2 linked regions of the Coturnix japonica genome follow. The protein of the gene in region 2 purifies or fractionates together with the protein of the main gene of each other region. This does not show direct contact. Links are inferred from orthologs where the notes say so. Each region holds a gene or a part of one and is shown on either strand. Other genes may lie near its edges.

Region 1 (16,889 bases), on a different chromosome or scaffold from region 2:
ATGGAGAAAGGAAATGAAAGGAATAGTAATAGCACAAGCTCCTGTAGACAGCATATATTCTCACTGAGAAAGACAGAAACCTAACTACAATCTTCAGCCCAGAAAAGCTCAGGGGCATTTTATTGACATGTATAAATACCTTGTGGGAGTGAATGAACACGATGGAGCCAGGTTCTCTTCAGCAACAAATTAAAAACTATGAAACTCAATGTTAAAATAGGAAAGAGCCTTTACAGTGTGGGCAGTTAAACACTGAACCACCAACACAGTTCTGGATAATCTGTTTCAGCTCACTGTTTAAGCAAGGGGGGGGTAACAAGATGGTGTCAAGAGGTATCTTCCAACCAAAATGATTTTGTGCTTCTGCAAAATAAAAAAACACCAGCCCTTACACTAAGGTTGCTATTATGAGCTCTTACCTTTGAGTGCTGAATCCCTTTTAAGATTTATGGTGTTTAATCCCTGCTTTCTTACACTTCTCCTTCCACTTGCTGGGTACTCTGTGCTGCAGCCATGCTTGTTAGAAAGTTGCTCTGAAATATCTAAGCCAACATCACTGTCCTTTTTGGTCAGCATTTGAGATCTCACATCACCATTTGCATTCCTACTACTCAATCTTCCCAGCTCATTTCTGTAACATTTGGCATCTTCATTAGTCAGATCAGGGAATTTTTTTATTACATCCGAGTCTGCTTGACATTTCAAGCCTAAACAATGTTCTGAAGCAAGCCAGGAAGGCTTCTGCTTACCAGAACTATCTTGAAGATTCTCTCTTCCTTGGGAAGATGAGTGTAACCAAGAAGGAATTGCACTTGCAGAATCAGACAATTTTCGTCCTGTAAGTTTTTCCATTTGCCCACTCAAAGGAAGCTCATCATCAGACTGATCACGATCAATAACCTCTCCTACTGTCACACTTTCTTTTGTATCTTTTATACAAATGTGAGATGGCAACACTTCTAGATCATCCTCTAACTCGGATAAGTTTTCCTTAGTCAAGTTGACTGTGTTCACCTTATCCTCAAGATGATTTTCTTCTAGCAGAGATTCTGAGTTTATTGGTGTATGGTTTGTCTGTAAGCATTCAAAATGCAGGTCCACTTCTTCGTCTGTCACTGCAGTTGCATTTTCTTCTTTACTTTCATATGAAGAACAGGTTATATCCTGCTTGCATTCTGCAAGGTCAATCGTAGTGCCAAGGTCAATGACATCTCCACAGGCTCTTTCCAATTCACCATCAAATACAAGGTTCTCATCGACATATAATTTCACCTTCTTTGCTCCAACATCAAGGTCCTGGAAAAACAAAGGTATGGATATTTCAAATAAATTGTTCAAATATTAGATATCACTGTTCTGATGAAAACAATAAAAAGCTCATATCAGTAACACACTTATAACCACTTCTTAAATGAAAAGTTCAAATAAGTATAAACTACTTTGGGATTTTTAAGAATGTATTTAAGAAGATCAACCATGCTGCTACACATGACTATAAATCATTCTGGCTGACATCTAGGAAATAAACACATTTAGAAAAGCTTGAGCAAAGACACCTAGGTTAAATATAGTTATTCTGGATCAAGATGTAAATTCCAGAGGTAGATTTTGCTTCAGTGTCTTTAAGAATCACCACTTATTTATCACGTACACTACAGAGTGAACAGTTACCCACCTGATTTAAGGACTTACAGAAATACAAGGCTGGAAAGGATATTAAAATTCTCATTCACCTCCTAGCACTTAAGGAAGTAAAATAACCAATACCTTAGCAAATAAATCTGTTTTTAATAGTTTTCAAATAAGACAACTTTATGCCTTGATAGCCTATTTAAACACTTAACTAGCCTTATAAATAAAAGGCCTTTATGTCAGACAGCTCCATAAGATTGTTTTCTGTGGCACCCATTGAAAGCCTGATTTTATTATTCACTTGAACCTGGAATTAATATACTCTGTTCTACCCTTCTGAGCTTTGAGTTGCTTAGTGATCAAACTTGAGGAAGAAAACCTCCAAAAATATTTTTTTTCTACTTTCCAATTCAAAATCTAAAGCTCAAATATTTTCAACTGAACACAAATAGTGGCCTGAATTATTCTTCCACCTGTTTTTTTGAAGTAGTAGATGGGCACCTCTCCCTTATGTGGTTTCTGAGGTAAGGTTTGGCAAAAACGAGTACCCCAAAAGAGGATACAATACAGCTCAAGATTAACATTAGCAGAAATAAAACATATCTAATCACATTTTAGTTTTTGTTATTTCTCAGACAATATTTCCTCATGAAAATTATAGAATTATGCAGAACTGCTTTGTATTATTCTTTCACATACGAATGATGTATATTTAGACCATGTGTACTGCAGGACTGCTGCTGAAGTGTGAGGTATGCTCCTAATGGATCTTACAATTTGCTTTATAGAGGTTTATTAAAAAAATCATTGCCTTGCAATACGCAAATATGTTCCTGCATATTTCCCATATTACACTCAATAGGCTCAGTAACAAATTCATACTATTACCTCCAAAACCAGTAGTCCCTTTCACAGCCTCTAACTGTGATGAAAAATTATGTAGCCTACATTTTAATAGTAAAAAGCTGTTACAACTCCAGAAAATGAATATACATCATGTTATAGTAAACTTCTTTAAGCTGCTCATTCCACAGTCATTTCTGTATGTATAAATTACCATATATGCTTATATAAGAACATAGATGAGAAGAAAACCAGAGAGTTAAAGCCTCTTATTGATAATCCAGAGCAGCAAATCCTCTTGGATTCAGTACCTGGGTTGTTGTTTTTATTTTTTTTTTCCTCCTCAACACTGCAGTGTACAAACAAGAATAATTTCCATGGTAACATTCAAACACACAAACAGGAGACCATCTGCCATCAGATGTCTCTCTAGTAACATCAGATCACTGGTTATTTTATGTACACGTAGTTAGTAGACTTCTTAATTAAAATAATAACTCTTGAACTGATCAACATTCAGCTTGTTTATACCTATATACACAAGCAACCAAGCATTTTTGTTTAAATATATAGTGATAAAAACTACAAATGCTGAACACTAAAATGCACTTACCCTGCTGTCTCTTTATTTCTCAGTAGAGGACTACCTGACAGAAGATGCAACCCTTTTATTAGGCTTGCAAAACATACATAAATGTTAACACTGCCTATGAACAGGTTAACATTTACATCTACCTCAAACAATCAACAACAGAAGCAGAAATGTACAGTAGACATGGGCACCTCCACGCTCCATATTTTATCAGAGAAAACACCTACTTTTATTTTATACTTCAGAGTAAAGATCAAACTGCAGTTTGTATAGAAAAAGGAGAGCACACATACAAAAGGAGGTGAGAAAAGATTACTTACACTACTTGTTCTGCTGTAATTCCAAATCTTGATCTTGGATACACCAAAGTCATGGGATCGGGTGGGATTGCGGATAATAAAGTAAAGTTGGATGGGTGGATGGAAAGGGCACATCCAAGGGACGCATTCCTTCCTGGTCTAAAAACACATACAAGCAGATTGTCACCAATCCTCTTTCCTCTGAAACAGGATATTTTGATTGATTTACCATCCCACAGGAAAAAAAAAAAATCAATTAGAAAAGTAATCATATAATAAAATCAGCTATATTAAAAGCAAAGCATTAACCTCATTCCCAAACAATAAATCTGACTCTCCAGCCTGGAAGACAGCTCACAACCTGACAATTAGATAAAGGTCAGCTGCTTGCTATCCCAGAGAGACATCTGCACGCTCACAAATGACAGGCAGTCTGCCATGCTTTGTAACTGCAGGGTCAATGCAAGCCCAGTTTATTTTAATCAAATTAATCAGCTTTGCAAGTGCTAAAGGGGATCACTGAGCAGAATGGACACTGTCTAATCATTTCACAATTTCTTAAGAGTGCTTATGCTCCTATCTTACCATCTAACAAGGGAAATCTTACCAATTTTATTTCACCGCCTCTATCTCCTGCAGTCTTTACAGACAACTAATTTCACTTGCAGATCTATTCCTTAGAGCTACGTTTAGGATTCATGATAGAATAGAGCTTTGAACACAGATTTTACAGACAATTGGTTATGGTAGGCATAGACAGTTTAAAGTACCAAGTAAGCTCAGGACATTGCTAAAAAGTGCTGTCTATTCATGTTTAGAGGAAAAAAAGTAGAAATACATGTCAGAGAAGAAAGGAGTTTTGGAATCAAAACATTGAATGTTAGTATACTTGACACCAAATGTTAGCCAATCACAGAAATAAATGAGGGCAAAACAAATACACATGCAAGCAACGTTTTGGTGATCTCAGATTAGTAGATACATTTCCACTCATTCTATTTTCAAGGATTCACAGAACATACACAGTGTACATAAAGTTTGTCTTTTGTTGAAATCAACCTGTCTACTCATTCTTCCATGGTCCTTCTCTAGGTAAAAGCATAACAAGGGAACAGATGCAAAGAAGTGAATTCCAGTCTTGAGTTTACTGAGACTTACACTAAGCATCTGAAACAAGAAGGTAGCAGCGATGCTCCTATGCCTTCAGATCACAAGAACTAATTAAATTAACAGCAGACATACTTTGAGAATGTGAAATTCCCTATCCTTAAGGCTGTGATTTCTTTTCCTGCAAATACCATAATTACAACAGCCTAAAAAATGTGTTCCTTCACCCAAGATAATATCAAAGTATTAACACATAAAAAACACAGTTAAACACACCTGTCTCCAGTTGCTCAGTTAACAAAGTCAAGCAAATTAATCAAATCATAAAACACTTTAACTGAATAGAAACATCTTGGATGTGAAAACTGGACTTGTTAATTCAAAATGCAATCATGCAACCAAACAAGAAACTTTGTAATGGAATAGTAAACATTATAAACAGAAGTTGACATATCCAGGACTGTCATCTTACATGCAAGTTCTTATTGACCAAGCAGCACAAATCCCCTGGGTAGTCAGCATTTCGAACATCCACATCGTGAGGTGACACAAATATCTTTTTGTTGTATAAATCAAAGAATTCCACCTCTCTCAAGCCAATGTTTATTGGATTTCCCCAGTTAGAAAGAAGCTCCACAGTCACATAAATGGCATCACGTACTTCCACGTTTGTTGTCATCTGGACCCAAGTGAAATACAGTATACACATAAGTGACAACAATAAAATCTGCAGCAATATAAAGACTGTTAAGACTTCAGTGATGTCAATTCAGAAGAAAAAAGCCTGTAAATTCAGAACACAAGCTTCCTGATATTTGATGTCTTGGCTCCCACAGCATGCAAGAGCCCAAAGGGCAGAAACAGCAACACAACTTTTACATCTCTTTGCCAATAAGAAGTTCAAGAGAATCAGACCACAAGGAAACAAGTAGGAGAGGGAATTTACATAAGATCTCTGAAATCAACTTTTGCTGAAACATCTGGGCTTTCTCACACACTAGATGATTCACCTTGATGATTAATAAAGGATCTTTATCCTTACTAACAAATAAGCACCTGTTTTAATATGAAAATTGTTTAGGTGTATTAAAAGCATGAATTAGCAGAAACCACTAAACTAAAACAGGTCTTCAATCAAGAAGCATGTAATACAGAAACAGCTGTAGCAGTAATTATGGGCTAAAGAGGTCCCATTATGTTCTGTTCTTCTTCAAAGACTACAAGAATTAAATCGTATAAAGAACCTACCTATAAGACAGACTTGCTTTCTTACATCTTCAAGAAGGCTGTAATCTATGAAGGTGATAAATTCTCTTACCCTGCCACAAGGTAATGCTGACCATTCAATACATTTGTATTTCAATAGTACTTGGAGTTATAGCGCATATATATACAGACCTTCTCTGTCAAAACACAATCTGCTTCCAATTTTTCATCAGATAGGAGTATGCCATTATCACAGGTAGAAGTGCTCTCAGTCTCCTGAAGAAATTCCAGAAGTTTCTCCTGTTGTCTGAAACACATGTTCTTTTGTATTTCCTTTTAATTCTTCCATTTTTGAGAAATGGTTTTGTTGGTGTGAAGGTGACAGAATGAACCCATACACCCCACAGAACAACTTAGGTACCCCATGTTGAACAACAGCTGTCACAACATCCCACACCAGATAAACACAGTCTGTTTAAAAGACCACACTCCAGTTCTCTGCTAGATATGAGGCAGTTTGAGAAAGTAATTCAAAATAATATGAGCAGAGGTAATATAAACTATTGGCAGTTCCCTGATTAACAGCTACTAGTCCAAGGCTAGAGCCCTCTCAAAAATATTAGCCAATACTTGCCCTTGGGCATTTAAGGCCATTGGACAAAGTGGTGCTCAGTATGGAAAAAATATCCCCTTAGATAGGAAGTTAGAGAGGAAATAGATATACCTGTTTCCAAAAGGACAAGTGCTCTCTACATCTTTTGTGACAGCAGTCTTTGCCTGGTTTTTTTCTGAAGGTTCAACCATTGCAGAGAGAACAGATGAAACAGAGAACATCTAAGTAAGAAAGAAAAAACCACAAACATTTCATTCACATCATTTTCTATATACCAGTGAGATCAGTCTGCACCTCCAGAATAGATGAGTTCAGGCTAACTTCTGGGCTCTGCTAACCTTAGTTAATCTGTATCTCTATGAACAGAGTTAAGCAGAATTGGTCTTAATTTGCAACGAAAGGGCTGAGCTTGATCTCCTATGTGGAACAAAGGGTAAAATAAAAGCATTCTGTAACAACTATATGTGTATACAGAATATAACTATATATACACACACATATATATTAAAATACACTATGTATATGTACCACATGTTTTGAATTTGCCTAAAATATTATGGTTTTTGTAGGACACAGAGCTAGCCAAGGCATTGACACAGTTCTGCCTGGACTTTCTCATTCCCCTCCTCCAAGGAAGGAGGATGAAGATTTTTAACCCCCCCCCCAAAAAAATCTCAGTTTTATTAAAATAAAATCAGATATTCTTGAGTTTTTGGAAATACAGAACTGTCATAGCAATTGAACACAGGAGGTGTTCAGGGCCAGTTTGGATGGGGCCCTGGGCAACCTGGTCTGTTATTAAATGTAGAGGTTGGTGACCATGCCTGCTGTGGGAGCAGTGGAGTTTGATGATCCTCAAGGTCCCTTCCAACCCAAGCCATTCTGTAATTCAATTACGTAAGGGATAAAAACCAACAGAGGACAAGTCTTGTCATTTTTTATGACAAAACAAATTCTCTCCCTGTTTGCATCCCACCTTCTAAGCACATCTGCACAAATCCGATTTTTAACTTAAAAGGGAACAATGGCCTGACCTGAAGGGAGTAGACTTTTTTAATTTCCTTGTTTATAAAGTTTTTAATTGCTTTTAAATGTGCTTATTGGAGATAAAAGATATACACACACTGCACATGCTGAGCATGTATTATTAACAAGAAACTGTGCTCGTATTAACAAATATAGTAAGATGGTAGGAAATATTGGCAAGGAAATCACATATCTTGTTTAGGAAGCTTTCAGAATGAAAATGGCTCAAATGGGCCTACAGCTGAGCACTTGACTGTGTAGACATATCACACGAGTGAGCTATCAGTTGCTCAGTGATCCCTGAAAGCAAGAGAAAGCTGTGGGGTGGTATCCAAGGAGCCAGATTTAAAAAACACCCACACCCTATGGAAGTAATACAAATCCAATTACAATTGAGATATCACTGTTTATTCTACAATTGTGTAAGAATTAACTATTATAATTCGTGTTCAAGGAAACCCTCTTTTCTCCTTATTGAAGAAACACTTGTTTTTCTTTCTTGCCATACCTTTTGAGGGCTTGTGGAAACTGACTGGCTTTGCAAATCTCTCTGCAAGGCTTCATTTTCAATTTGCATAGCTTTAACCACAGCTGAAACAGAGAGTTCAGAGTCCTTTTCACACTCATTCTTTCGAGCTGCTGAAAGTGGTCTTTCTGGTCGACTTAATGGTCCTGCCATGAAAAAGCACAAAGGAATAGCCATTTGTACAGACAAACAAGCATGGAATATTCAACAGCACACATCTGAAACATCCAATTCTGTTACTAGTACAGTGCTACACTAACTAAACAGTAACGAACTAAAGCAAGGTTAAACTGCTCCAATTTGTTTTTCCATCTACCCTAAATAACAGATGGAACTGCATCACAAAAGAAGCAAAACTGAAAAACGGCAAATGGGATTTTTATGCATTAAAAATGTAGTTGATTTTTTCAGACGTTTACTGGGAATGCTTTGCAACAGCTAATTGAAATAAAAGTACATATAATTTCAGCCCACCAACATTTTTCAATGTAACTGGAGTATTCAGCTATTCTGGGAAATCCCAAGATTCTTCTGGTAAAAATCAAGAGACTCAGACATTGATACTTGCAGCATAAGATAAATGACCTTATGAACTTGCACCCATCTTCCCAAACATGACAGAAAAACAGAAGCATCACAGCCTGGAAAAAAGTTTAAAGGAGAGGAGACTTAAAATCTAAAAGCATCAACTTTGGCCATGGGAAATTTCAGTTCCTTTCTTTCTACAGATGCATTGTGTTCAAAGCTTTCAACTAAGCATGAATTCCTGATCTTAAGACACACTTCTGCTAATGCTATAAAGAACAGAAATCCATCAGAGAAATGGAAAGGAGCAAATATAAGGACCAAAACGAGAGGAGGAAATCTTATGGTATAGAAGCAAAAAGAGAAGAAAGTTAACAAAGACACAGCACAGACTCAAGTGTGCAAGCTCTGGATTTTTTCCTCACAATCCTACTTAAGTCTGAATTCTTGAAGTGCTAAAAAAATAATAATAAAAGGTTAAAAAAAATATTATAATGACAGATGAAATTACACATGAATCAGATTGGAAAACAAAATCATTAACATCTTCTTTACTGACATATATTCATATTCCTTACTATGGCAAATTCTTTCCTGCCTGTCTGGCTGCAAGGACTCAGCAGAGAGCGGTCGATTGATTTTATTTTTTACCACAACTGGTCTGACAGGAATGTACATTTCAGCATTATCTTTTCTTTTGGCTGAAAGAACTCGCACTGGCTTCAATTCTGTAAGATAAGGAAACAGAAAAATCAACTTCAGAGATCATCAGAAGTAGCAAGACAGGAATTATTATTGTACCTTAAATGCTAACGTTTTGCCACTTTAATTATGCTGGCATAGGTAAAATGATAACCACCATCTTCCTTTCCTTTTACTGATGCAGTTCTATATTCTATTCATATGCATAGCCTCAACCAACTTAGCGATGAAATACATCACCATAAGGTAGGTCAGGTCATTAGACCAATGTATCTTAACAGGGGCAGGTATTTCCAAGCACTGCTGACCAGAAGAGCAAAAATAAGCAAGAAACCCTGAGTCACTCGTTAATGCAGTTGTGTCAAAATTATTCCTGAGGCATAGACTAAAAGGAAATGATCATTCAGTTCATAGAAGTACTTATCTGCTCTTACTTCTGGGGGTGAGGGGATAAGCCACGTACTCACGTTCTCACTGCCACCACATCCCTTACTCCCTTAATTACATGACAGATGAAGAAAGAAGCAGCTATAGTAAGCCTAACCTCACTATGATACAATGCCAGGGGAAAAGAAAAAGCTTAGCCTGATGTTGTTTCTCTGAGACAAGCCAAAGGAGTTTCAGAAGGAAAGCCAACCTGAGAAAAGGATGTCGGATAGCAGAAACGAAGAGAGATTACAGAGAAAATGAGTGAAGACAGGAGTTAGACACCAGCACAAGTTTTAGGTGGCATTGCTAAGGAGCTATTTTTCTGCTGCAGTAGAAAGCAAATATCTGTGCTAACAAGAACAAAGAACCATCAAGTGAAACAATCGGCGTTAACGAGGATGCAATAGAAGATATGAATTTCTGAGTGAGAAACTATGATTTTTAATCAGTGGAAAAGGTAGCTGAGAAGAACTGAAATACCATTGAGTAAAGCCAAACAGTACCCAGAAGTCATCCACAGAAGTGCTAGGTCTAGTGCTGTATAAGTTCAGGCTGGGTGACTGAGTCATTCACTGTGGTTTATGTGATTACACCAAAGCTGGACCTAAAGCCTGTCTACCACACAGTCAGCAGTGTTCTGCTTCTGCTTTCTGTATCAGAAGCAAGCACATTTATCTGTCAAAACCAGTTAAATCTCCCTGCATATTACTATCAATACAAAATAATACAGATACCAGTTGGATGGTGGTTATTTTTTCCCCATCTCAAACCTGAAAACTGAACACCTGGGGCCTATCAGAGGGGTTGAAACTTGTTACTAAATTCTTGAGGGAACAGCTAGCCCAGGAAGCTGGAGCCCCAGCTGAAAGCTGATGTAGCTGTCAACACTGAGAAGCTGTATGTGCCTACAACCTCAATTGTCTCCTAGCAAACAGCATAGCAAATCCCAGTGTACAGCTCCCTTGGGTATAACAGCATCCCTAATGGGTCAGAACAAATAACCAGCTATGGTAAGATCTTTTCTCTGACAGCAGTGAGCAGCAGAAGCACAGGGAAAATATGAAATATACAGCGTATTCTTCACGAGGCTGAAGTCTGCATTTAATTCAAACTAAAAATGAACTTGCTAGCTAGTACTTTGTAACATCTACTAATTAAGGCATTAATGTATTTGAACTTCTAAACATCCCATGGCAATAATTTTTTGTATTTATACATAAAGAAACCATAGGATGCCTATCCATGTATACAAACAATGTTGTACTCGTGAATTTAATTATATTCAGGCCTGACATAGACCCTGGGACTACAAGAAGGTTGTTTCTTGTAGCTTACTAAATTCCAAATGTACTTTAAGAAGAATTATTTCTATAAGGACATACAGTAAAAGGGCTGCCCTGGTCAGAAGTCTACCCAAAGGCAAAAACACAAACTTGGTTTGCTCTTTACCAAGGAAGGAGGTGATTAGAATGCACGATTATTAAAAAGAAGCAAGGACATTATCCAGGTATGACACCTTTCCAGCACATAACTGTGAACATTGGTATTGCAAATTATGGCTCAGATTTGTACTGATTATCTTTGAGAGCATTGCTTTGAAGATATATCAAAGAACTTTAACAACAGAGGCTTACTACTTTGATCCTGCTTGTACTCCAATGCAGTAGAGGCACCAGAAACCAGGCTAGAGCATCTTCCAGTATCCTGGCTTTCAGAAGCTTCTTTCTGCATAGATCCACTGCTCTGCAACTGAAGGCTTGCAAAGCTTGTAATTGTTTCTTCAGTAGGAGATGGTTCTGAAAACAATTCCTCTTCAATGAAGTCATAATCCTCACTAGAAGATTCTTCTTCCATCTTTTCCTCTTCTACACTGAGTTGCAAACTGCTTTTCAGCTTCTGACACAATTCAGACAAACAAATCTGTCAGGAAAACTCAAATATTTATTTTAAAATAAACCCACGTGGCTGCCTTTTCCTCTGAGATATCAGATGGTGCTAAAAATACTCAGATTTCCATGTTATATTTTCACTTCCCTGGTGAGGACGTTTAAAGAAAAAACATCCTACATCTCCTGTGTTTCTTCTCATTAGAAGCCCTTGCAGGAAAATTCTATAGACTAAGAAATAAGGAGGTGAAGGAGCCTTGGCACAGGCTGCCCACAGGCTGTGGGATCCCCTCCCTGGAGGTCTTCAAGATCTGCCTGGATGTGGGCACCCTGCTGGGAGCAGAGGGACCCTGAGGTCCTTTTCACCATCAACTACTCTGTGATTCTGCAACAATAACTCCTTTGTACGTAACTTAACGTATGGCAATGCTCCTGTAGACATCTATACTTGAAGAGCAAAAAACAACAGTAGAAAAGACTTACAGTCCAGTGAATTGAGCTTCCAGGTTGTGAAGAAATTTAATTAGACCCGTTGTAACAAGATTTCATGCTAAAAATTCAACTATTAATTTACTACTGAATAAACTGCCCAGCTTCACTCAGCAAATGCCACAACCACATAGAAGATGCTGGAGAGCCTTTCATTTTTATAACTGTCAAAGGAAAAGATCTTGTCTGTCCTAAATCTATTTTTCCTACTGTTGCTGATACCACTTTGAGAGAAGTAAGCAAACTGCAGGAGTAAAATAAAACTCAGAGCTATCTTAGACACAAATGAACTGTGACAGCGTACATTTAGTGTGTAATGAAAGCTGCACGCTGCTCTCCTGTTACAGATTAGCCTTGTTAGGAAAACCACGTTGACAGAAACATACTACAAAGAGAAAGCAAATTCAGGTTCAAGAAAGGGTCTACAAACAACCTCAAGCTTGATACTGAGCATGTCTTAACGACAGGCAAAGCTAATATTTCTATTTGACAGGGAATCTTATGAGTTTGCTTTTAAGCTTAAAACATCACAGCAGCTGCATTGTAAGACAGTTCAGAGAACAAAGTTCAGCTTCAGGAATGCCAAACATATTTCCAGCTGGGATATAAAAAAAACTGGGTTTTGTCTCAATATTAAATTTAAAAGCTTGTTACTTACACAAAGAATTATAAAAACTTGTCACTGAAAGCAAGTTACGGCTTTGCAGAGTGGCAAGTAAAATCATAAGCCCAAAAGCAATACAGAAAATGTAGAAATGCAGGATAATGGAAATAGCCTGCTTTTCTATCATTCCACTGGAATACAAGCACATGGAATACACATACGCTCCACCAATGTATTTAAGACATGTCTAACTTAAATATAAAGGTTTAAAAACATCGAGAGATTAGGGAGCTTTTACAATGCAACTTGCTCTATTCAAATCTTCTGTTACAGGAGCTTTGAATTCCCAGTTCATAAAATTAACTTTCACTTCTTAAATACTGTGTTACTTCCCATTCCAAATATAGTCAGCTTAGCAATTTCTGGACTAAAAACAGTTGCTCATTTTCCATGACAGCATGTGCTGGGCCAGGGCACACAGAGAGGAAAGGCAAGGGGGTAGTGGAAGGAGAAGGCGGCCACAGTGGTAATGGATTTAATTGTTTGCTAATTAGGATGATAGTTGATTTAGTACAAACAACTTAACCAGTAACAATAATCCATGGGATACATCAAAATGAAAGCTGATATTGAACCTCTGAAAACACAAGCTAGGGAAGCACACTTGAAATTCATCAGCAACTGCTAATTGTACCTGAGAGTAATGGAGAGGATCATCACTATTTCTCTCCATGCTCACACTTTCATAAGGTTCAAAATCCTCAGAGTACTCAAGAGGAGGTTTAATGCAGAGTTTGGTTCCTCTTTCTGTTTTAATCTCCACAGATTTCTGTTAAAACATGCAAAATAATTTGTTGGTTTTTTTCTTGCTATCAGCAATACAATAATCAATAAACATATTTCCCATAATAGCTAAGTCAAGCAATCTCTTCCTCAGCTGTTCCATGGAGGAGATCACATCCAGCACATGGCTTACGTCTGGCATCAGAGTGGGGAGAAAAAAAGATAGGAAAAGGGACATAGCAATCAACAAAGCAGATACAGTTAAACCCCTTAAAACACAGGAATATAAAGAAGTGTTTGCAGAATAGCCTCAAGGGGAAGGCTCTAAAGTTTGCTCAGGAAACTGGCACACTTGGGTGCCTCCTTGAAATACCTCTGTACTAATGGAAAACAAACACATGGGCAACAAACAAGAGGAGTTACAAGTGTGTCATAAGAAACAGTTCAAAGATGCTTTACTTCAAGCTGTTTCTTACCTGAAGCCATCCTTTGCGCTGTATTTTGCTTGGTGCAGTCTGTGTACTGTGCACTTCCAATTCACTTGCTTTTAGCTGAGATGCTGTTCCAGAAAACGAAGACAAGAATTAGAAGACAAAAGAGAAATACAGTATTTAAGGATACACATAGCCATTACTCCCCTTCAGCTGAGGAGAAAAGGGCATGATTCTGATACAAGAACAGGAATAACAATTAGAAAGGCATTCCAAACACTGGCTGGTTGTGTACTAGTGACAAGAGTGCTGAATCTCTTTAGGGATTACTACTACTGTGTGTTCAAGACAATAAATTGTCTTGACAAAAAGACAAGGCTACATAAACAGCATGCAAAGCCCCACATTCATTGATATGAAAGTACTAAAGTATGTTCTAGCATAGATACACACATCTTTCTGACTTCTATCTGGGTAGAGAGTAAGGCATCTTCAGAAACTGAAGGCAGACTGATAAACAAGGTCCTAGTGAACAGCAGATGTTATACTGAATTTACAAAGGAAGTTTGAGCATTTACTCTCAAACTAAGGAAACAAGTAAGTGGCAGATTAAATAGAATGCACTACACATTTAACATATTATGAAGAGAAGTATTCTTCACGTACAAGTCAGACTAAGGAAAAATCATTGATTTTTTAAGGTAACAAAGTGTCATAATCTAAAGTGTGTGGTCAAGAAGAACAAAGAGTCCTTACACTGGAAATGGTCCCAATGAAGGAATGGATCTTTCAGAAGATGCTTTGACTAAGACACAGAGACCTACATCCTGCAGGTCACATCAACAACCCCAACAGAGCAAGGACATAATCAACACTCTCAATACCATCCTAAATAAAGGCATCTCATTTCCTAAGTCCAAGACAGATTTACAGCTTCCATTTCTTTTCAGCGAAGAAAAACAGCTGATGCAAAACCTTTCTACTTTAAGCCATAATTTAATGGTCATCTTAAGCCAGCAGGAACTTGTACAACCAATAAAAGCAGCAGTCTTCCTACCAAGGTCATAGAACCAAAGACAGATTTACACTGGAAGGGACCTCTGGAGGTCACTTAGTGCAACTTCAATTCAAAGCAGGGCTTACTTCAAAATTACATCAGTTGGCTCATCCCAGCCCTCAAAGCCACATCTCCTCTGAGAGGCTGGACAACCCCTACATCCATCTATCCAGTGAATGGTTCAAAAAAAACTTGCTAACAGTAAATTTTAACTGAGGAAAAAGTCTGAGAAGTAATTTCAATGATCAAATTACAGTTCTGATAAGTAAACACTTTAAATAGTTCTAGTCTGCCATCTCAGTATAACTTACCATTTGTCGTGATAGTCTGTGACTCATTTTTGAAGTAACCAAATGGGTGGATTTTTTTGCAGTACTTTCTCAGCTCCGAATTTGCTCCATTCATATACAGAGAAAACCCCTGCTCTAACTGCTCCAGTTTGATTTGTGTAGGATCCTTTCTTCTCAAATTTTTCAAGAGCCTGAAGTAAAAGCAATAGTAACTCATCAGTCCACAATACAAATACAGGTGAAGTTAGCAATAAATGCAAAGAAAGCACAACAGAGTTATAAGTAACAATTCAGGATATAACTTCCATGATCGACATTCTACAAAGCCTGTATGAGTACTGATATCATGTGACTTAAGCCTAATTAAGTGTTTCCCTTCTAAGACTCCCACTAGATTGTTTATCATTTCACTTTTCTCCCACCCATTTGGCATTCTATATGCTTAAACTTTCTTCTTGAGAACTTTTGAGAGCTTTGATTAGGAACTTAGAACTTAAAACCATTGAGTTCCTCACAAAGCAACAACAAAATAACCTAGGGCAGGAACCTGAATCATAAGTTCCAGTTCCCACCTGCTTAGGCATTGTTTGCACCTCCCTCCCAGTACACAATAGACACCACTGATATCTCAATATGCTGACACCTGAATTAAAGTTCTCTTTGTGGTCTCAAGGTTACCTCAGCTGCTTCAATCAAGTCACACCAAGTCAGGTGTTGCAACACAGCAAGCCAAATTTCACATTACAACCAAGTTTTTTAACTAATATTCATCACCGTTCACATTTGATACTATATGCTACAATCAGAAGGATTAATACAACAGAAAGGCAATACAGGAGTGTGACAGTAAAGGGACTAAGTAAATGGAACAGTATTACAAAGGAAAAGAGCTCACTTACCTCTGAAGATCTAGGGTAATAGGGAAAAGTCCACAAAGTAGGGATCTTCAACCAGAGATCCTTCCCCAATGGCAGTAACCACTTAAATGAGGTCTAACAAAGGTGCAGCCAGGCTCCACCTCTTCTGGTCACACATCTGAATTGCCTTCACCTGGGTTCCCAGGTGCTCAACCAGTGGTTCAGTCTGTGACTCAACAGTTACCATACATATATCATGTACTCAATGAGAGTAGGAACAGTGCTTACCGGTTTCTCTGTTGAAGTGCTATTAAATATTCATCATGTTTTTCATCAAAGTTAGTCACCATGTCCTTAATATAAAGCTGAAAAGAAAAGAGTTGTCAATGTGAATAAATTATTCACTATAGAATATTACTGGTTCAGCACCCTCCATAGCCATGAAAGCTCTAAGCTGAAAGAAGCTCCTCTTTCAACAAACTATAAGACAAGTTGTGTAACAAGCTTCCAGATGAACAGTAAATACACTGGTTGCTTTTCTCAGACTATCAAAACTAGGAGACTGATGCTACAAGCCAGGAACTTACACTCATTTGAAAGGACCATATCACTTGCCCTATTCACAATGAAGCAAAGTTGCTCCTTACGGTTGCTCAACAACAAGAAGCAATCTGGGACCTAACAGTTCCCCAACACCATTCCTGTGCTGGTACCATTCACAGGGTCGGTTAAATCTAAGACTTGTGTACTTTAGCGCCTGTATACATTTAAACATGTATAAATTGAAGATTTTAACCTTACTTGCCTTTCGGGAAACGCGAACATCTCCCACTCTGTATTCCAGAGCTGCTGCTTGTATGGGAAATCAGTAATCACAGCCTGAACCTCTGATTAATCAGCTGAGGCAAGTGTGGGGTCAGCTATGGGATCACAGGTGAGTTAATGGAGCTGTGCTCCCAGAAGGGATGGAGCTCGATCCACCTCCTCTAGAT
Region 2 (16,889 bases):
GCAGCAAGAACTTGTTCCACAGGAATAGGAAGAACTGGTGTATTTGTCATGTATGTAAGATAGTTAGCAGGGAAGCATGCAATAGAGAACCAACAATTATTTACTATAGTTGAAACAACCTGTTTTTAAGTTGTAGTTTGTTACTGTGTGAACATGGAATGGAGTTAAATGTAAAATGCACGTAAAAACACAGACTTCACCAAACATAGAAGGGAAGAAAAAGGCTTCTATAACATGCACAGGTGGATCTATCTTACTAAATTATATGGTGGAGAGAGCTGAGAGGTGGCTAGATACATTTACACGCAAACTTCTTCTGCATCTGTCTTTCTTTACTATGATAGAGATTACTCAAATGCTTCAGGAACATGCTCATATCCTCAAAGAAGTTGCCAAAGTCAACTTTTTGAAGTACAGTTAGTATGTTATTTCTTCTCTAGGCACTGAAGTACCCATACTTTCAAGTTGGCCAAGTTTTAGGACCTCCTCCACAATATTTGGAGAAGCAGACTCCTATTAAACCAGTGCAGCCAACAGAACCAAAGCCAACTTTACCCAAACTGGAAGCTGTATCCAAGCCAGAACCTTTGTCTTCACCTGATGAACCTGACAAAACACAGCCACAGTCCCTGTCAAAGGCCAACCACCAGCCTCTCCAGCAAATTCAGTTGCCTCAGAATACAGCTAACCAGCAAATACCAAAACAACAGCAGCCACAGGCACAGCCATTTTTTCCAGCTATCAGTAAAGACTCATCCATGGTAAGTTGTCTGTTGGGGTAGTTTACCCTGGTTTTGTGAAACTTACATATCAGGCTGATTCAATGGCAGTGCTTGTGATTCTCAGAGAGGTCTCAAGGTGTTCATCAGAGATTTTGGATGAAATCTTACTCCTCCTGTACTTTGGCCTTGACAATAATTGTTCGTGAATGTGCATACCACCCAAAAGCAATGACATGAATACGGCATGATTGTGAAACTAGGAATGTCTGTCTCTGGGGAGATAGACATTATTGCATTTTGGAGTTGAATATCTGGTTGCCACTCAATACATGCCCCTAGAAAATTTGCAGGTAATGTATTTATGATAACTGAACATGGAGTCACAAATACATATTACTGATTTTAAAGCAATTTTGAAACCAATTCTCAATTTCCTTCATCAAAATGGAAAGCAAGACTAGATATTTTTTCTCTGTTCACAGGACTGTATTTAGCCAATGTACCAAAACACTTAAGAATTATTTGTCTTAACTGGAGTTAGCACTGCACTGTGCCCTTTCCTTGCTCTGGTTTCATCTGTAAGAGCATTAGCAGCGCACTGTGGTGGCTGCTGAATGATGGGCAAATGCTTGGGGCTTGGCCAGGCTGCTCAGCAGGGAAGAGCTGCCACCATGATGGCATGGGGTTGGCGTAGATGCACTGTGAGCTGTGCTGGGCCATGGGTTGGACATACCTGGGTTCCTTGTAACAACAATCTGTGTTCTTTTATAATAACTTTTACTAATGCATTGTTGCGGTAATGTGGTTATAATAACAATCATTCACTAAGCTTTGAGAAACAATTTGCAAAAACATTGGTTAGTATACACAAAAAAAAAAAGGTAAGAACTTTCAATGCCTAGAGCAGGAAAATACCTGAGCAAGCTACCTTTAGTCATTTGTTTCCTTGATTACCACCTGCTGGCTACCAGTGAATAGATGCAAACTGAGCAATACTTTGAATCACATGGACCTTGCAATTTCTAAGCTCATAATAATCTTAAAAGTAAGATTTTTAGCTTCTGACAATTACTGTTCCACTGGCAAATTCAGCAAGATACCAGAAACAGAGGCTGAGTGCTGAACTGGGCCTGTAAGCAGAATGTTAACTGAATACATCAGCTAGATTTGAGCCATCTGAAGCTGGCCGTCCAAAAGGGCTGCGCTCAAAATACCTACCAACTTTGTTATATATTTTGTACTTAAAATCATTAAGGTTATGACCAAAAAAAGGCACAACGCAATGGCTTATATATATATTGAAGTGTATATATATATATATATATATATATCCTTCAATGTTCTTAAGTGGTAGTAGTGAACTATATGTAAAATATCAAGTTTTAGAATTTAATCTTTCTTAGAATTTAAACTTTTAATTAAAGTTGTATTTTTTATCTTTTTTTTTTTATTATTATTATTTATTTTTATATTTGAACTAGAAACAAGCGGCTAGTGGCCCCCAGAATGGCACAGTGGGTCCTAAAAGTTGCAGGAGACGATGGGGTCAGACTTTGATAAAGGCTGTGGACAGCTGGGATGAATTGGATGATGCTGAATTTGGAATGTCATGCTCAAAGAAGCCTAGCATTGCACTGTTAAAAGAAAAGAAAAACAAGGAATGTCATTTTAGGTAAGTCCTGTAATTCTAAAATCACTTGTTAACAAAGGTTTTTGAATACACAGTGGCCAGTAGATTTATAGATTGGTTAAAACAGGTCTACTAAAATTTAACTCACTGAAACTCTGCAATAGTGCAAAGGGCTTTGTGAACAGGTCGGCTTTGAGTGCAGTATTGATGTAGCACCAGTAACATCTGTACATTCTATCTATAACATAGGTGTCTATCTTGTTTTTAAGAAACAGTGATTTACTGAAGTAGTACTTGATTTCCTGTGTCAGTGAGGCTAGGGAAAGTTCTGCCACAGTTGCTTAGTTGCCTTTAATTCAACATAACATATACACATCTTTTTTTTCTTCCCCCCCCCCCCCTTTCATATTCTCATGTAAAACTCTTATGATGTATGAGATTTAGCTGTTGCTTTCTGTGGAAATAAAGTCTACTGATGAAAGCAGGATAAGAAAAGAGCGCTGCATCCTTAAGCCAGCCTCAGCTCATGGCATTCTAAGGTGGACTTGTTGGTTACACAGCCTGAACATTTTGATTTATTTCTTTTTCAGTGTGCCAGAACCAAAAGCTTCTCATTGTATCCAGCCGGGAGTGGAAAATAAAGTTCTGATGAGAAACGATTCTGGAAGAACCAATACATCAGCAAAACAGTACTATCTAAAACAATCAAGATATCTGCCAGGTAAGGGGAAAAGTCAACATGTCATGGAAAATGCAAACAGCCGACTATCTATATACAGTACATTTAAACTTCAGATCTCACACTGGATAATTCTCTTTAGCACAGTGATGATTTCTAAGTACGAAATCACTTCTTCAGCGCTTAATAGGATGCCCTAAGACTCAACAGTTTGCCCAAAAGAGGGGACAAAAGCTTTCCTATTTAAAAATGACAAATAGGAAGTTAATCTACATACCTGACATTTTTATGCATGCTCATAATACTTCTGTTTTTATTAAGTTTCAATGAGAATGGCATAGTAGTTTAAAAAATATTTTGCACTTAAGAGAATAATAGTTCCAAGAAGCATATTTTTTATTTATCGGTATTAATATAGTTAATTAATAGTAACCACTAGATATATAAGCTGCTTTCATGCTGTGTAATCCCATTAACTCACTAATGCTCATAACATGCTGAAGTAACAAGAACTTTTGTCCTCCTGAAGAAATAGTTTATTTTTAGCCTTGAGAACCTTTATTTTCAATCAGTTTCTTTCATTTCTGCTAACTGTCTGAGAGCGATAAATATCAGGTTATGATTTTATAGACACCAAGTAGATGCAGTAAAACTACTTGAGAAGTTCTCTTGAATGCATAAAAACAACAGTTCTCAACTGAAAGTTAGATACATTAATTTGAGAAATATAACCTAATCAATGGATATCGTTCTTTGGAAATTAATAACATTTGCCATAATTTGTTTTCTAAGGCGTAAATCCTAAGACCGTCTCCTTAGTAGCAGTCAATAAAGAAGGATCTCATGGAAACTGGAACAACCAGCTGTTTTCCAAGCCATTGGCACACGTTGGAGAAGGATTGCCTTTCAACAGAAATAATACAGGTAGAAGCCTAATAAAAGCTGTCACCTTGTTTTTCATCATACTTTAATTAAGACAATAAAGTTTAACTTTTATTGTCAGCTTTAGCTTATAGGAAAACTTTATTTTTCTTCATTTAAATACAGACTCAAAATAACATTTTCTTAGATAAGCTATGTATTTTGCCTTCAGAGCATAAAGAAAGTACAGTTTAGCTCTTAGAATAAAGTTCTGTCAAGATAAATTTTGTCTGCAATCCTCTTAAACTTATTATCTTACTATGATTATTTAAGCAAATAGCTTAATCTCACTACTGCCTGGTCAGTGTGATGCGGAACACTGTAAAACAGCAGTCTCACATATGAAAACAAACAAGGTGTTGGGTGCTAAGCCCATGTGATCAAAATACTACCTAATGTATTTAGCAGATGAGAAGTCCCCTTACTGCAAGTCCCTTGCAGAAAGTAAGGTGCTTTTTATACTACCTTTTGTGGAAAATGCTGTTATCAGCATTCTATAGAGTGAAGGCTAAAGCTTAAACAAGTTAAATGGCTTATCTAAGATTTCACTACGGAAAGCATAGGACTTGAGACTAAAATCTACCTTCTGACCACTGCTGGTCCCATCACCCTCTGATAGGAGATCACCCTAACAGCTTTGAAGCCAGCATGAGTCACTCCCAACATTGATGCTAATGACCATCTGTAACAGAAATGCTAAGTCAGGGCCTGAAGCAGTGATTGAGCACCTGGTGGGAAGGCAGGGCCAACCCAGGGGAGCTCAGGTGCAAGCAATGAGCTTGACCAGAAGGGGTGGAGCCAGGATCCACGCCTTCCCAAACCTCATTTAAAGATTAGCAGCGGAGGTGAGGGTATCTCATTGGAGATCTCTGCCTACCTGAGTTTTTGTAAGGGTAAGCAGCTTTTTTTTCCCCTTTGTTTCTGTATTCATGGCTGCTGTATCTGGTCTTATCCTTTTTTTGCTTTAGATTAGGACTGTGCCACCCTGCTACTGTTGCTGTACTTTCCATCACATTATAACGTTACACTGCCTGACCTAATATGTTTGTACAAGATCTTTAGAAGGCTTGTTTACTTGCAGCTGCTGCATGCCTTTTTAACAGAACTTTAGTAGCCATCCAGTAGTGTTATCAAAACATTATTATCCTTTTGGAAGTCAGGTGAAGTGTAAGTTGTTCATCCAAAATGATGGAGAGGATTTAAGAAATGGAAAGGTAACAGGATCTGCTGGAGTGATGCAATAGGACAGACTGATAGTTGGACCACAGATCAGAGAAATATAGTGCATGTATGATGTGTGTAGTCCTTTTTCAAACTGACAGGATTGAAAGCTGACACTGTGCTGCTTGGTGTTTAAATAACTATGTTTAGTTTCTTCAGGTGCTTTTATTTTTTCCATACCCACAATGCTGCTCTGGGGTGGAATAAGAACAGATAGTTACAAATGCTTTATTTGTAAGGAACGGTAAAGCTATGATCCATTGACTTAGCAAGTACACCTGAATGCTTAAACTTGTGATTTAGGCTTTTGTGACTTAATGTGACTGCGTTGTTGGTGAACTACTTACTTTTTTTAGCTACTTTCTAATGAACCAAAATGTAGTTTAAGTAACACTTCCTGCTTGTAAAAACAAAGGAGTATGAGATTATAAATACTTCAGTGTCAGCTATTCTTTCTTGATCTGCATTTCCTCATTTCTTTGGTATCACCTAACCAGATTCATCTACTTTCTCTGTATAAAATTCTGTCTTTCCATCTTTTTCTCTCTTTTGTTCTCCTTATCTACAGAAGAGAACTTAATTACACCCATTGAAAAACTATCATGCAAAGAAAGATTGAATGAAAAATTAGAGGATCCAAAAGGTAATTTATAGCCATTATAACCTGGCTCTTTGCACATTTCATATTTGTTTTGCATTGTTTCCAAAAAAATACACCTATGGTGAGGATTCCAAAAAGATCATATTCTTTGTTTTCAGTTGTAATGTGTTTTGTCAAACTTTGCTTTCTTTGTTGTGCCTGCTTTTAGTCAAAGCAGGGTCCACTCACCTATCAGTTAAGCTGTAGCAACTCCTCCAGCAGCAGGGAAATAACAGAGGTCTATCTCAGTTACCACAGTGTAACACAGTGTGAAAAACAGCTTCCACCTTGAATTTTATTCTTTGGAGTAGTCACCTGGATGAACTCAAGTAAAAGTTATCCACATAAGTAAGGTCTATTTGTTTCACTTCTGAATCTGCATCTAAATGGTGTTATGCTGAAGGAGGGCAAGTCATTTCCCATTACATGTAGATTAACTCATTCAGGCTAACCTGAATTGTGTCAGTACGCTCTTTGAAATCTGAGAGAATGAAGTGATCACAAGTATGCTTTCAAGTTCCTTTTAAATGACATCTGAATGTTCCATGAAGAGACTTCATAACTTTTCTTCTGGAGAAGAACTGATCCTAAAGGAGAGACACGTGTATCTCTGAAGGACTGCTCACTCATAGTATTGTTTGCCACTTGCACCACCGACTGCATTCTCATTCTTTGCTAATTACACTGAGTTTACAGTACTGTGATTGCAGAGATTTAGGTCATTAACCTCAGTGTAAACAGGTGAAAACTCAGGTTTCCAGGCAGTTGTGTTTAGATATAAACACACTCCTCACTACAAGCATTGTAAAGCTGGAATGCTTCACCTATTCCTCCATTTCTGGCAGCTGAGGTGTGTACTGTATCCCTTTGCAACTACTTGTAGTTTGTTCTCAACTTACTGCCCAGCTTGAACGCTTCAATGGCTTCATCCCTTGAGAAGAGTCAGGCATGCACTGAGGTATACTGCCCAGGCCATGCTTAAGCTTGCTGGCACTGTGTTTGTGTACACATCTGCTGCTGGACCTTCTTGATGCCTGATGGACTTCTACAGCAAGAACTTCTGTTCTGCATAGCAGTTGCCAGAGGTAAGGAACAACCTACTGTGTACTTCTCAATGCGTGTTTTTTAAATGTTAGCAGTCATAATTTTGCACTGAATTTCCTATTGTTCTTCTATCCAAGGAAAAGACAGTTCCTTCAGACCTCTCAGTTTCACCCAGACTGTTCCTCTGGCTGTGCTTATCCATTTTCTGCTGAAAAGCTCATGAAGAACATCAAAAATGAAGAGGTAAGAGGAAGAGAAAAATGGTTGAGAAATTTTTAACAGGTATTTTTGCAGAGCTGTAGATAAGAAACAGGCAGAATAAGTCGTTTTGAGGTTACATTTAGGCCTGCCATGTTCTTACTTCTAGGCCTCAGAATGTTAAGATATCCTCTGACAGATCAGAATTATACCTTGTGAAGTGTTCCTAGTGAAAAGATTAGGAAGTAGGGACAAATAAATGCATGCATTTGTATGCAGACAAGGGAATGTAACGCTAAAACTGTTGCTTTTTGTTTTTCAGGCAAATCTGTGAAAAAGAAGAACTTGTGACTCTAAGGATGTTATTATTTGAGTACTTTATTAAAGCTTTATTTTTCATCAGGACTTGTGTGTCATCCTTTACTCCACTGGAGACTGGCATCAGCTGTAGAAAGGGAAGCCACCTGGAGTCTCAGTTGTTGACAGGACTTTGGGGATATGGGTAAATCTTCAGCTGAATGCTTACTCTTAGTTCCCAAAGAGGAGGTATGTGATGACCCAACACAGCTTGTAACAAGCTCAGCATACATTTGTGGTTTGTAGATAACCAATTCTGTATCTTATGAATCCACTGCACTAGTTCTGACATTAGCACTGACGACTGAAGGTGTTAGTGTGAGGAATACTTTGGGATTGCAATGGGGCTGGTGATTTGGAAAAAGAACAAACTCTGTCAAATCACACACTGTATATTTTACTAACTACTGTTGGAACCATCCTGAAGGTTAAGATGATTCAAGTGTTCATAAGTGGTAAAGGTCAAACTATCAGGTATGGCTGTAGTTCACAAAAATTTAACGTTACTTGATATTGAAGCAAAATAAAGGCCTTCTCTTCAAATGTTGTGCCATCACACAGGTTTTTAAGACTGTCTGTGCAATGACAAGTATGGAGAAGATAAATAGGAAATCTTCTTGGAGCAGTCTAAGTATCTTAATTGTTTCCACACCACTGTACAGTAATTTCAGTAACAGTTCTGTGTGTAAATACACAATATTTCTCAGCTTCCAAATGACAGAACGGAAAGGGTGATTATGTCAATATTCCCAAGGCAACACTGCCTTAAAGAAAGTTGGGGTAAAAGCCAAGCAAAACAAAATATCAGGCTTCAAAAGAGGGGAACCAGGTCTTTTGTAGCAGGCCTTTAACCAGGGAACTGGCTAAGTCAGCTTCTAGTAGTGTACCACCACTTAACACAAGAGGAGTTTTGGTTCCATTTTAGATCTAAGTCAAATATGTTGAGCACAAGAGCATGTTGACTTTCAAATATGTAAGTGCTTAAACCTGCTTCCAGTAAATAAAAGGTAAGACCCTGTGTTGTTCTAAAACTCAAGGATATGTAAAACTCTTGCTATGTAATCTAAGTTTAATGGAAATATTAATTAACTGTCATACCACTCTATCTTCATCCCTGCTGCACTATAGGAGTGGATGTACTGGAGTATACATACTTGTAGAGTTTGTTAGGCCTTTGAAAAGGTCCAATTAAGATGCAAGTGAAAGGATATCTACTTCTTACCCCCAGACAAGCACTGAGGCAGAACAATACTCATTAGTCGTGTGATCATTCAACTATGTTTTGAAATGACTACCAAAAAAAATGCAGATTTTATGAATGCAACTAAAAATATTACAGGAGGTTTTAATATCAACAGGAAATTCTGACTTTGTGGGAGGTGCTACTTACAACCCATCAGGAGGATACATCCCTTCCTTTCATAAGAAAGAAGTTGGATCAGCTGGACAACGGATACAACTAGCTCCTATTGGTCCATCTGTATCTGGTAAGATACATCTTAGCATACACATGTAAGTTTTTCTCAACACTAGGATGGAAAGTAGATATGTTCAGGTTTAAGCAACATCAACATCAGAGTTAAATGGGTTTAGAGGCATTTTCTTGACAGAGACTTCCTTGTAGCATGTGGCAGTCCTGAGTCTTTATAATGCTATTTAATGTGATTGAATGATGTTGAACCATGCCTATAGTGGTCTAAGAAACTTCAAAAAAGGTAAATACCTCCCCCTTAGGTGACTCAGTAAATTCACAAATGATGTTACAGATATAGCACATGCACTGTATTAAAATGAATTGCTCTGTTCTTTACTAGCCCTATTGGGTTGCTCTGTACCTTTGGTATTATTATTTTAACTACTGTAGTTACCATTAATTCTAAGTTCTTGTTCCTTTCAGATTATTCCTGGAAAACCAAAGCTGCTCGTGCTCAGTTAGCAGGTCCTACTTACAATTCAGCAAAAAACATGAATATTTTAACTCACGCACCAACAGTTCAGCCAGTACATGGAAGAACAGACTGGATGGCTAAATATGGAGGACACAGATAGAAAATGCCATCCTGTGTAGGTATTGTGTGAGCTTTGTTCAGTTCTCCTGCACAAGAAGCCTGAAATGCCTCTTTGCTCTACTCATTCCTAAGACTTTGCAATAGTAAAGGTAAGAACAACCAGCCAACCTTGTGTTCTACTACCTATGCACAAAAAATGAAGTCACATAACGTTTAAAATACTGGCTATGAAGTGGGATTTCATAAAGTATTGTACAACACATCTTGCCAAATGTATTTAAAAGTAATGAGAAGTAGATTTCACCTGACATTTCTCTATAGAGGACTTCCTATCAACAGAAAACAACTTAGAACTATCTTAGAAAACAACTGCTAGAGTACTTTGCCCTATGCAAAGTCCACCATTGACATAAGCTGCTTTCATGTATGCAAACAGCTTGAACTGGGGCTAAAGCAGAGCAGCACCAGGCTCCCAGCTGATACTCTGGTTCCTTCCTGGAAACATGACAGTGAAAGCACAGCCTGGGCTTTGTGAAGAACACCAGCATCCTACAAAGATTTCAGAACTCACCTGTACCTAAAGAGTTGCTCAGGGTCTGCAGTGTATAAATGCAATGAGAACTCCTTTGTAGCAGGACATCAACGCTATGCTAACAAACTGCACATTGAAGATCTGAAAATGTGTGGCAGTAGCAACACTGGAAAGCAGCTAAGCAAGTACTGAATGCTGCAGTTACCTCACCAAACTGTAGTGAAGCTTAAACCGAGGCTCTACTGTTAGAATTATCTTATGTCCATTTTCAGTTGATCTGCAGGGATTCACATTTCCCTTGCCAGAGGTGTATCACAGCACTGTCTTAAGGAATCCAAATATCTGCAGTCTCATCAGCTGTTCTAATGGTGAATTAGCCTAAAAAGGCATAAGCAGTTGGTAAGCATCTTACTGGGTGATGACACTACTAAGCTACAGGCTTCTCTGCAACTTAAAGAGGTCACATGAATTATGTGAGGGAGGAAATAAAGCTGCTTTTCAAAGAGGTTACATTCTGCTTTAGATCTTGAAGGCCAGCTTAAGTACCCAACAACACACACAAGCTTTAATAATGCAATACCTCAATGTTTATATGCTTGTTTCATACTTTTCCTTGATACCTATGCTAAGTTTTAGAGTAATATCTTGCAAAGGATTTCCCAATGTACAATAAATATATTTTTTTTATGTTGATCTAGGCTACTTCTGTTCACAGCTGGGTTTAGAATAGATGTTTTGGACTTAGTAGTATTAAATCTGACATTTTAAAATACAAAACGAGTACGTTCTTTAAAGGTGTGAAGCTAGTAGTTATTACTTTAGGCACTGTAAAAAGAGAAGTAGTTGTATGATTGTTTTAACTGCATATAAAATTTTCAGTTTCTGTTGTTGACCTGATGTGCCACAATACTTGGGCTATATTGCTTATTAGAAGTCAGTTTAAACTGAAGCACTAGCATTACTTTAATACTAGAGGTGATTTATAGAGATCTGGTTAGTAACACACTAAAAAATTGAGTTCAATTACTATTGGTTTTGTCTCAGGTACCTGTCACTCTACTAGTACTAAGAGATACTTATATGCCACTTAAGCATATCTGTAACTGCCTATGGCAATGAAAACCACCCTCATGCTTTCTAAAATAGTTCTGGTTGAGAGCTTTACAAAGATGCTGCCAGGACCATGAATGCAGCTTCCCCTTAGCTCTCACTACATATGCTCGAGGCCAGCATTAACCCAAGTTGTGTGGCATGGGACCAGGCTGCCTGTTGGCAGCTTGGTTCCATAGCTGCAGTGCAGCCAGGACCCCTGCTCTTGGTCCTTGGTGCAGCTCTGCTTGTGGCCAGCCACATCCCTGCTGCCTGGAACCCAACTTGCTGATGTTGTGGCTCACCTCTGATACTGCCTCATTACTGCGACAGACCAGTGTCAGCAGCCCTCAGCTACTGCTATTGTCTTGACCTGCATTACTTCCTCAGGTAGCGTGAGACCACGCAGTTCTCAGTGAGGTAAATGTGCTGCCTGTTTTGCTCCTGGATCACTTTCTCCTGTGAGGAAACCAGCTGCTACCTGACAGGTGATTTTCCCCATCTGTGTCCAACAACTAAAATTATCTAACGAGAAGGGAAGAAAAAGAGGGAGAAAAAGTAAAAAGGAAACAAACCACAAGATGTCACACTCCTGCTGAGTGGCCAAATGTTTAGAGAACTCTGAGCAAATGTGGCTCCTGAGCCTTACTACTCCAACAGATCAACCCACCTGCTTCAGTCTCTTACAGTATCAGCCATCAAAACAAAGGCAGAAGAAATCGAAGCTCAGGTCCTGTGCAAAAACAGGCATGAGGTAACCAGACCAGAAAAGGGATACGTTACCATCCATGTGTAGCTCCCAGGATTATTTCTGCACCCTAAGTTTATATTTAGAATGAGTTCAGGCAACAGAGCACTTCTCAGAGAAACATCTGAGCCCTTCAGTCTTTAAATAAACTTTCAGAGTGTCTTTCAAGTCTGAAATAGAAGATTTCTCTCAAAAATCAAAATTAGATTTTAATGTAATACTAGTTTTCTTATATAGACTGCATGCTGCTTCTTCTGGCTCCCACCTGCCCAGTTCACTTTATGAGTCCCTGTCGTGTCCAGGGAATGGAACAGGGATAACTTAGTCAATTCATGCTCACAGATACATCCAGCTGCCCTACAGAAAAGGCACTAAGTGGGTCAGTCCAGATGAATGATTTAATAAAACTAGTTGTATAGAAGGCAAGTTTGTCATAATAATACATTGGCTGGTTTATTTAAAGTAACATTTTAATTCTCGTTAAATGCAAGTGCTACGACTGCAATTCAGCCTTACCTAATGAAGCGTATTTTTTATTTTTCTTACAAAAAATAGTCTCTAGAAGTCAAATTGATTACATTCAGTTGGGCACTTTTGGTTATAAATAATCTCAAGTAACAGGTTTACTTTCGTGGCATTACAGTAGAAAATCAACCCCCTGCTCCATGATTGTTTTTAGGCCAAGGTTCTAACACAGTGCTAGAAAAACAAAGTCCCTGACTGACAACATGATGACCAGATATGGTAGCAGGGAAGTGGGAGGGGAAGGTGACAAAAAGCTCATATGTTATAGGAAATACTAATGATAAGTTGGCAATTTAGAATCATCTATGTTGGAAAAGACCTCCAAGATCATCTAGTCCAACCTGAGTCCCATTGTTTCAGCAGTCTAATGAGTTTTAGAAGGACAAGTCCAGATGTATATGTAAGCTTCATTCCTGCAACTGTCTGCCCGCAAGGGACAAGAGGCTTTTACATACAGGAAAAAGCAGGACCAGAAGCTGAACTAATCCTACACTCATTTTCCTGCTTCATAGTGCAGCTGTTGAGACAAATACCACTTTGGAAGACATAACAAGGGCTCTCAATTTCTCTCATTTAAAGAGATATGCATAAGAATATGAAAAACAGTGCATAGACAGCAGTGTCTGTTATGTTTTTTATATAGTGCGTTCAGGCAGCGGCAGTTGCAGGCTTCTTAGTCACGTATCTTCAGGTGGTGTGATGTTCACTTATGGCCCGAGTGGCTTTTCCATCATCATCAAGCCAAGTCGTCCAACCATCAGTAAACTGTTAAACAGAATATTTGTTAGAAGAAAGGAAGAAGGAAAGAAGAAACAAAAGGGAAGGATGGGGGGAAATTCTCAAAGAACACCACAGAAGAAAACATTCCAATTCATTTTGATAGGGAGAAGATTTCATTTTTCCACACAACTTACCATGTAATATTTAAAAGACTGGATCACAGAATGACCAAGGTTGGTAAAAACCTCCTCCAAGATGATCCAGACCAACTGTCTACTTACCACCCATATTTCTCACTAAACCACATCCCTCAGTGCAACATTTAAATGTTTCTTGAACAATATATGCAATATATTCTTGAGATATATATGTTCTTGAACTATATGCAATATAATCAGTGTGTAAGTTAAATAAAACACTTATTCAAAAAATACAGACAATAACACAAGATGTGAGTACCTGGCACCAGCAACGATCCCAGTCATTGGTTTCCTGGTGTTGTAATATCTCATCCCCATGATAGCAGACAAGGTTCCAGATGCCACTGATAAAAGAGAAGCCCAGTCAGAATGGTTGCAGGGAAGTAGGTCTGAAGAGCCAGCACAGCACTACAATGCTGCTATGCACCTACCAGTCCCAACAGGTCTATATGTCTCGCCTCCTTTCAAAAGCAACTATTCTACCTCAGCTGCAAATCACAGGAGGATGCAGAAAATAAAATCATGGACTGATCATAGAATGGTTTGGGTTGGAAGGGGCCTCTAAGAACATCCAGTTCCAGCCCCCTGCTATAGGCAGGGACACCTTCCACCAGACCAGGTTGTTCAAAGCCCCATCCAGCCTGGCCTTGAATGCTTCAAGGGAAAGAAGCATTCACAACCTCTCTGGGCAACCTGTTCCAGTGTCTCACACCCTCACACCCTCTGTGTCCAAAAATCAGGAAGTACAGAGGCAACTTATCTCTCTCACTACACTGACTAAAAACTGGTGCAGGAGATGCATGGCCATTCCTACTACACACCACAAACAGAAGCTGTGCTTCATGTAGAGCCATGTGTTGCACCTCATTTTCTACTCACCACACAGTCCTCTTTAGTGTTTGCCAGGGATCGCACAAAACCCTTCAGCACACTGCATGACCTGCTGTTTGTAAGCAGCCTTAAATCCCTCTAACACCAGAATGCTAATAATGCTTTGATGTGGTTGCAGAGCTGTAAGAGGTCAGCCTAGAGCACACAGGTGTGACCAGCTCCTCACCAGCACTGGCCTGACTAGTTACTGAAGCCCTGAAGCAACAGAAGCTCTCTTAGGTTCACCTGATCTCTTCCAGTATTTCCCAACACCTTCCACTACTGTTTTATGTTGTTTTGCTTCCCTTAAAAGGTCTGCTGCAAGCTAAGCCCACAGCTTCTTGTCCCATCTATTGTAAGCAACAGAAGTGGGACAAGCAATAGAGAACAGCTCATTCCCTCCTTTATTTTGTAGATTTCACACTCCCTTCCACAGTGTACATTTTCTTATGCTCACAACGCTCCTTTGCAGCTGGTTTTCCACACGAGCCCCCTGTGCCTGAATTAATTTAACACAGTGCCTCACCTGGCAGTGGGGATACACAGCTGTCACCCAGCGTAGCCACAAGAGACAACACAATAAGGAGCTGGTGGTGTTCTGGCACAAATACTTCCCTACTATGAGCAGGCAGCCCTCGTATACAGTGCTTGTATACATAAAGGGACACAAGTCAGTTGGAACAGGCTACACTAACCGGCACTGCTCGAACTGCCTACAGTCAGGCTTAATACTTAAGGCACCAAGCACTTACCAAGGGAAAGCCATATGTTTTTCGGGTCTTTGGACTGCTGGTACGCACCCAGTCCTGCCAGGCCACCAAAGAAAAGGCCGGCAGAAAGGGACGGGACGCTGCCTTCAAGAAAGAAAGCAAGAAACATCACAGCTCGTATTTAGTTTTCAACTAATAAGATACTTCGCAGCCCTGCCTCCGCTCAAGCAGGCAGCCAGCCCCTTTAAAGGGCAGAACCCCACACTCCAAACCCGACCCTTCCCCAGCACAAACAGCGGTCCTACCTGCCTTGACGTAGCCCATGATGCCCCCGTAGGCCAAAAGCGCCGCATACCCGAAGCCGACCCAGTCGTACTCCATCTGCGGTGCCCCTCCGCCGGCGGCTGGTAGTTGTAATGGTAAAGGGGCCGTTGGCCACCGGCCCGCACTGACCTTGTCGCCGCGCTTCCCGGCGTGCTGCGGGGCGGAGCGGCGCCTCACGGAGTTCCGGCCTCGGGCGGTGCTACCGGCCGAGTCTGTTAGGGCCGCTGATCTGGGTGTATTTCATGGGCTTGGCTGCCCGCAAGTTCTATTTTTCCCCCTCTCACCTCCCTGTTGTTAAAGTGAGGAAGCTGCTGAGGCAGGCGGTATGCCCCAAAGAACAGTCGCACAATGAGAACTAAAGGGTTTATTTGCTGAACAACAGTAACGCCGTTAAAGGACGCTTGAAGTTAACAGTGGTTTAATGAAGGTGGTAGTTAACTTGATGCTCAGTGACTGACCCCTCTGCAACTTTCCTAGTATGCTGAAGGGTTAAATAGACTTAGGGAGGAGAATCAGATCAGCTATTTGACAGCCTCCCTCTAGCGGCTGTAAACGGGAAAGAAATACAGGCCTCAATGTTAAGTCTGTGTTAACCACTCAAAAAGAAGTAAACTTGGAAAAAAAGCCCAATCCGTATCAAAACATGACACTGGCAGGCCAAAAGTCTGCGTGGCAGTCAGTTTCCAGCTCTATTAGTTGGCCAAGTAAAACAAATAAGTAAGCCCTTATCTTTCATGAAAAGCTCCTGTGCCTGAAAGCCTATCAGTTCTATTCACAACTATTCACATAGCAAAGAAGTGCTGTGTTCTCCTACAAACCTGGAACCAACAGATGTTTAAAGAACAGTTAAAACCCAGGCAGCATAACATCTTCCTTCTATTTCCATTAATTCCCTGGTGCACTTAATTCCTCTATCTTTGACTAAGCAGCAGCTGCATGTATGGCCACCAATTGTGTTCCTGTTTTTAATGTCTGGCTCACTGTGACTTGTTACCTTTCTACTTACCTGAGCTGCACCTATCTCACATCCTAAAGAAACCTGCTGGATAAATGTGTGCTTCCAGCAAAGCAGAACTTCGATTTTTGCTGTAATTCTGACCACTTTTGTTGATGCATCCTGGATTTTCACTAGCTAGAAATACCAGTTTGGTTCCACTTCAACTTCACTCTGTGCCAAGGTCCTCTTTCGATGTCTCAGCTCCAGGCACTCCACAATCAGCGGGTATGTTCTGAGCTCAAACTTATTTGCAAACATACAGGTGGAGTTGAAAAGCCACTTGAGGTCACCTGTTCCATATACACAAATTCCTCTGACATAATGGCCTGCCAAATTAAAAAGAGACAGATAAGAAATGTCAGAACCTGGATTTCTTTCTACAGGCATGCTTAAGGATCCAGAACTTTCTTTGGACAAGTTTTATCTGCAAAACCACTACAAATCTACACCACAGCCTAAAAGGTGTCTGCACACAGTGTGAATAAGTACAAACAACAGAAAGACATAAAGGAAGTTACTTATGAGTAAATAATAAGCATAATTTCTGAGTTTTATGTGGCTACTGTTATCCACTACCTAAGGACAAAGGAAGATCCTTGCAATGTCTTATCTCTGATAAACTGCTGCTTAAGGACTGACTTGCATTACATAGGGCTACTGGAAAAAGTCAAGTTTTTCCACTAGATGAATAAGAAGAACTGAGGAAGAATATACACATTACCATGACAACCTCCATTAATGTCTTCCTTGTCA

Evidence for each region.
Region 1: the proteins of MAK (region 2) and KIAA0556 purify together in Homo sapiens (affinity purification with mass spectrometry; 3 studies listed by BioGRID and IntAct, with this or other methods). This does not show direct contact. The link is inferred for Coturnix japonica from reciprocal best matches to the Homo sapiens genes MAK and KATNIP.

What each region holds. Positions count from the first base shown.
Region 1 is NC_029529.1:10,580,424-10,597,312, forward strand, and holds part of KIAA0556 (protein KIAA0556 homolog), read right to left. Parts: intron 16,263-16,889; 5' UTR 16,248-16,262; coding exon 16,186-16,247; intron 16,027-16,185; exon of another isoform or gene 15,940-16,026; intron 15,232-15,939; coding exon 15,062-15,231; intron 13,822-15,061; coding exon 13,739-13,821; intron 13,309-13,738; coding exon 13,174-13,308; intron 11,421-13,173; coding exon 11,135-11,420; intron 9,098-11,134; coding exon 8,948-9,097; intron 7,991-8,947; coding exon 7,827-7,990; intron 6,514-7,826; coding exon 6,404-6,513; intron 5,987-6,403; coding exon 5,872-5,986; intron 5,153-5,871; coding exon 4,946-5,152; intron 3,526-4,945; coding exon 3,388-3,525; intron 1,297-3,387; coding exon 420-1,296; intron 1-419. UniProt on the Homo sapiens protein: May influence the stability of microtubules (MT), possibly through interaction with the MT-severing katanin complex.
Region 2 is NC_029517.1:65,954,249-65,971,137, reverse strand, and holds the end of MAK (serine/threonine-protein kinase MAK), read left to right. Parts: intron 1-440; coding exon 441-761; intron 762-2,203; coding exon 2,204-2,394; intron 2,395-2,942; coding exon 2,943-3,073; intron 3,074-3,823; coding exon 3,824-3,955; intron 3,956-5,741; coding exon 5,742-5,816; intron 5,817-6,719; coding exon of another isoform or gene 6,720-6,724; exon of another isoform or gene 6,725-8,716; intron 8,717-8,770; coding exon 8,771-8,899; intron 8,900-9,309; coding exon 9,310-9,461; 3' UTR 9,462-10,845; downstream 10,846-16,889. Other genes in the region: transmembrane protein 14C-like, read right to left, coding at 13,023-13,080, 13,495-13,579, 14,858-14,959, 15,121-15,196. UniProt on the Homo sapiens protein: Essential for the regulation of ciliary length and required for the long-term survival of photoreceptors. Phosphorylates FZR1 in a cell cycle-dependent manner. Plays a role in the transcriptional coactivation of AR.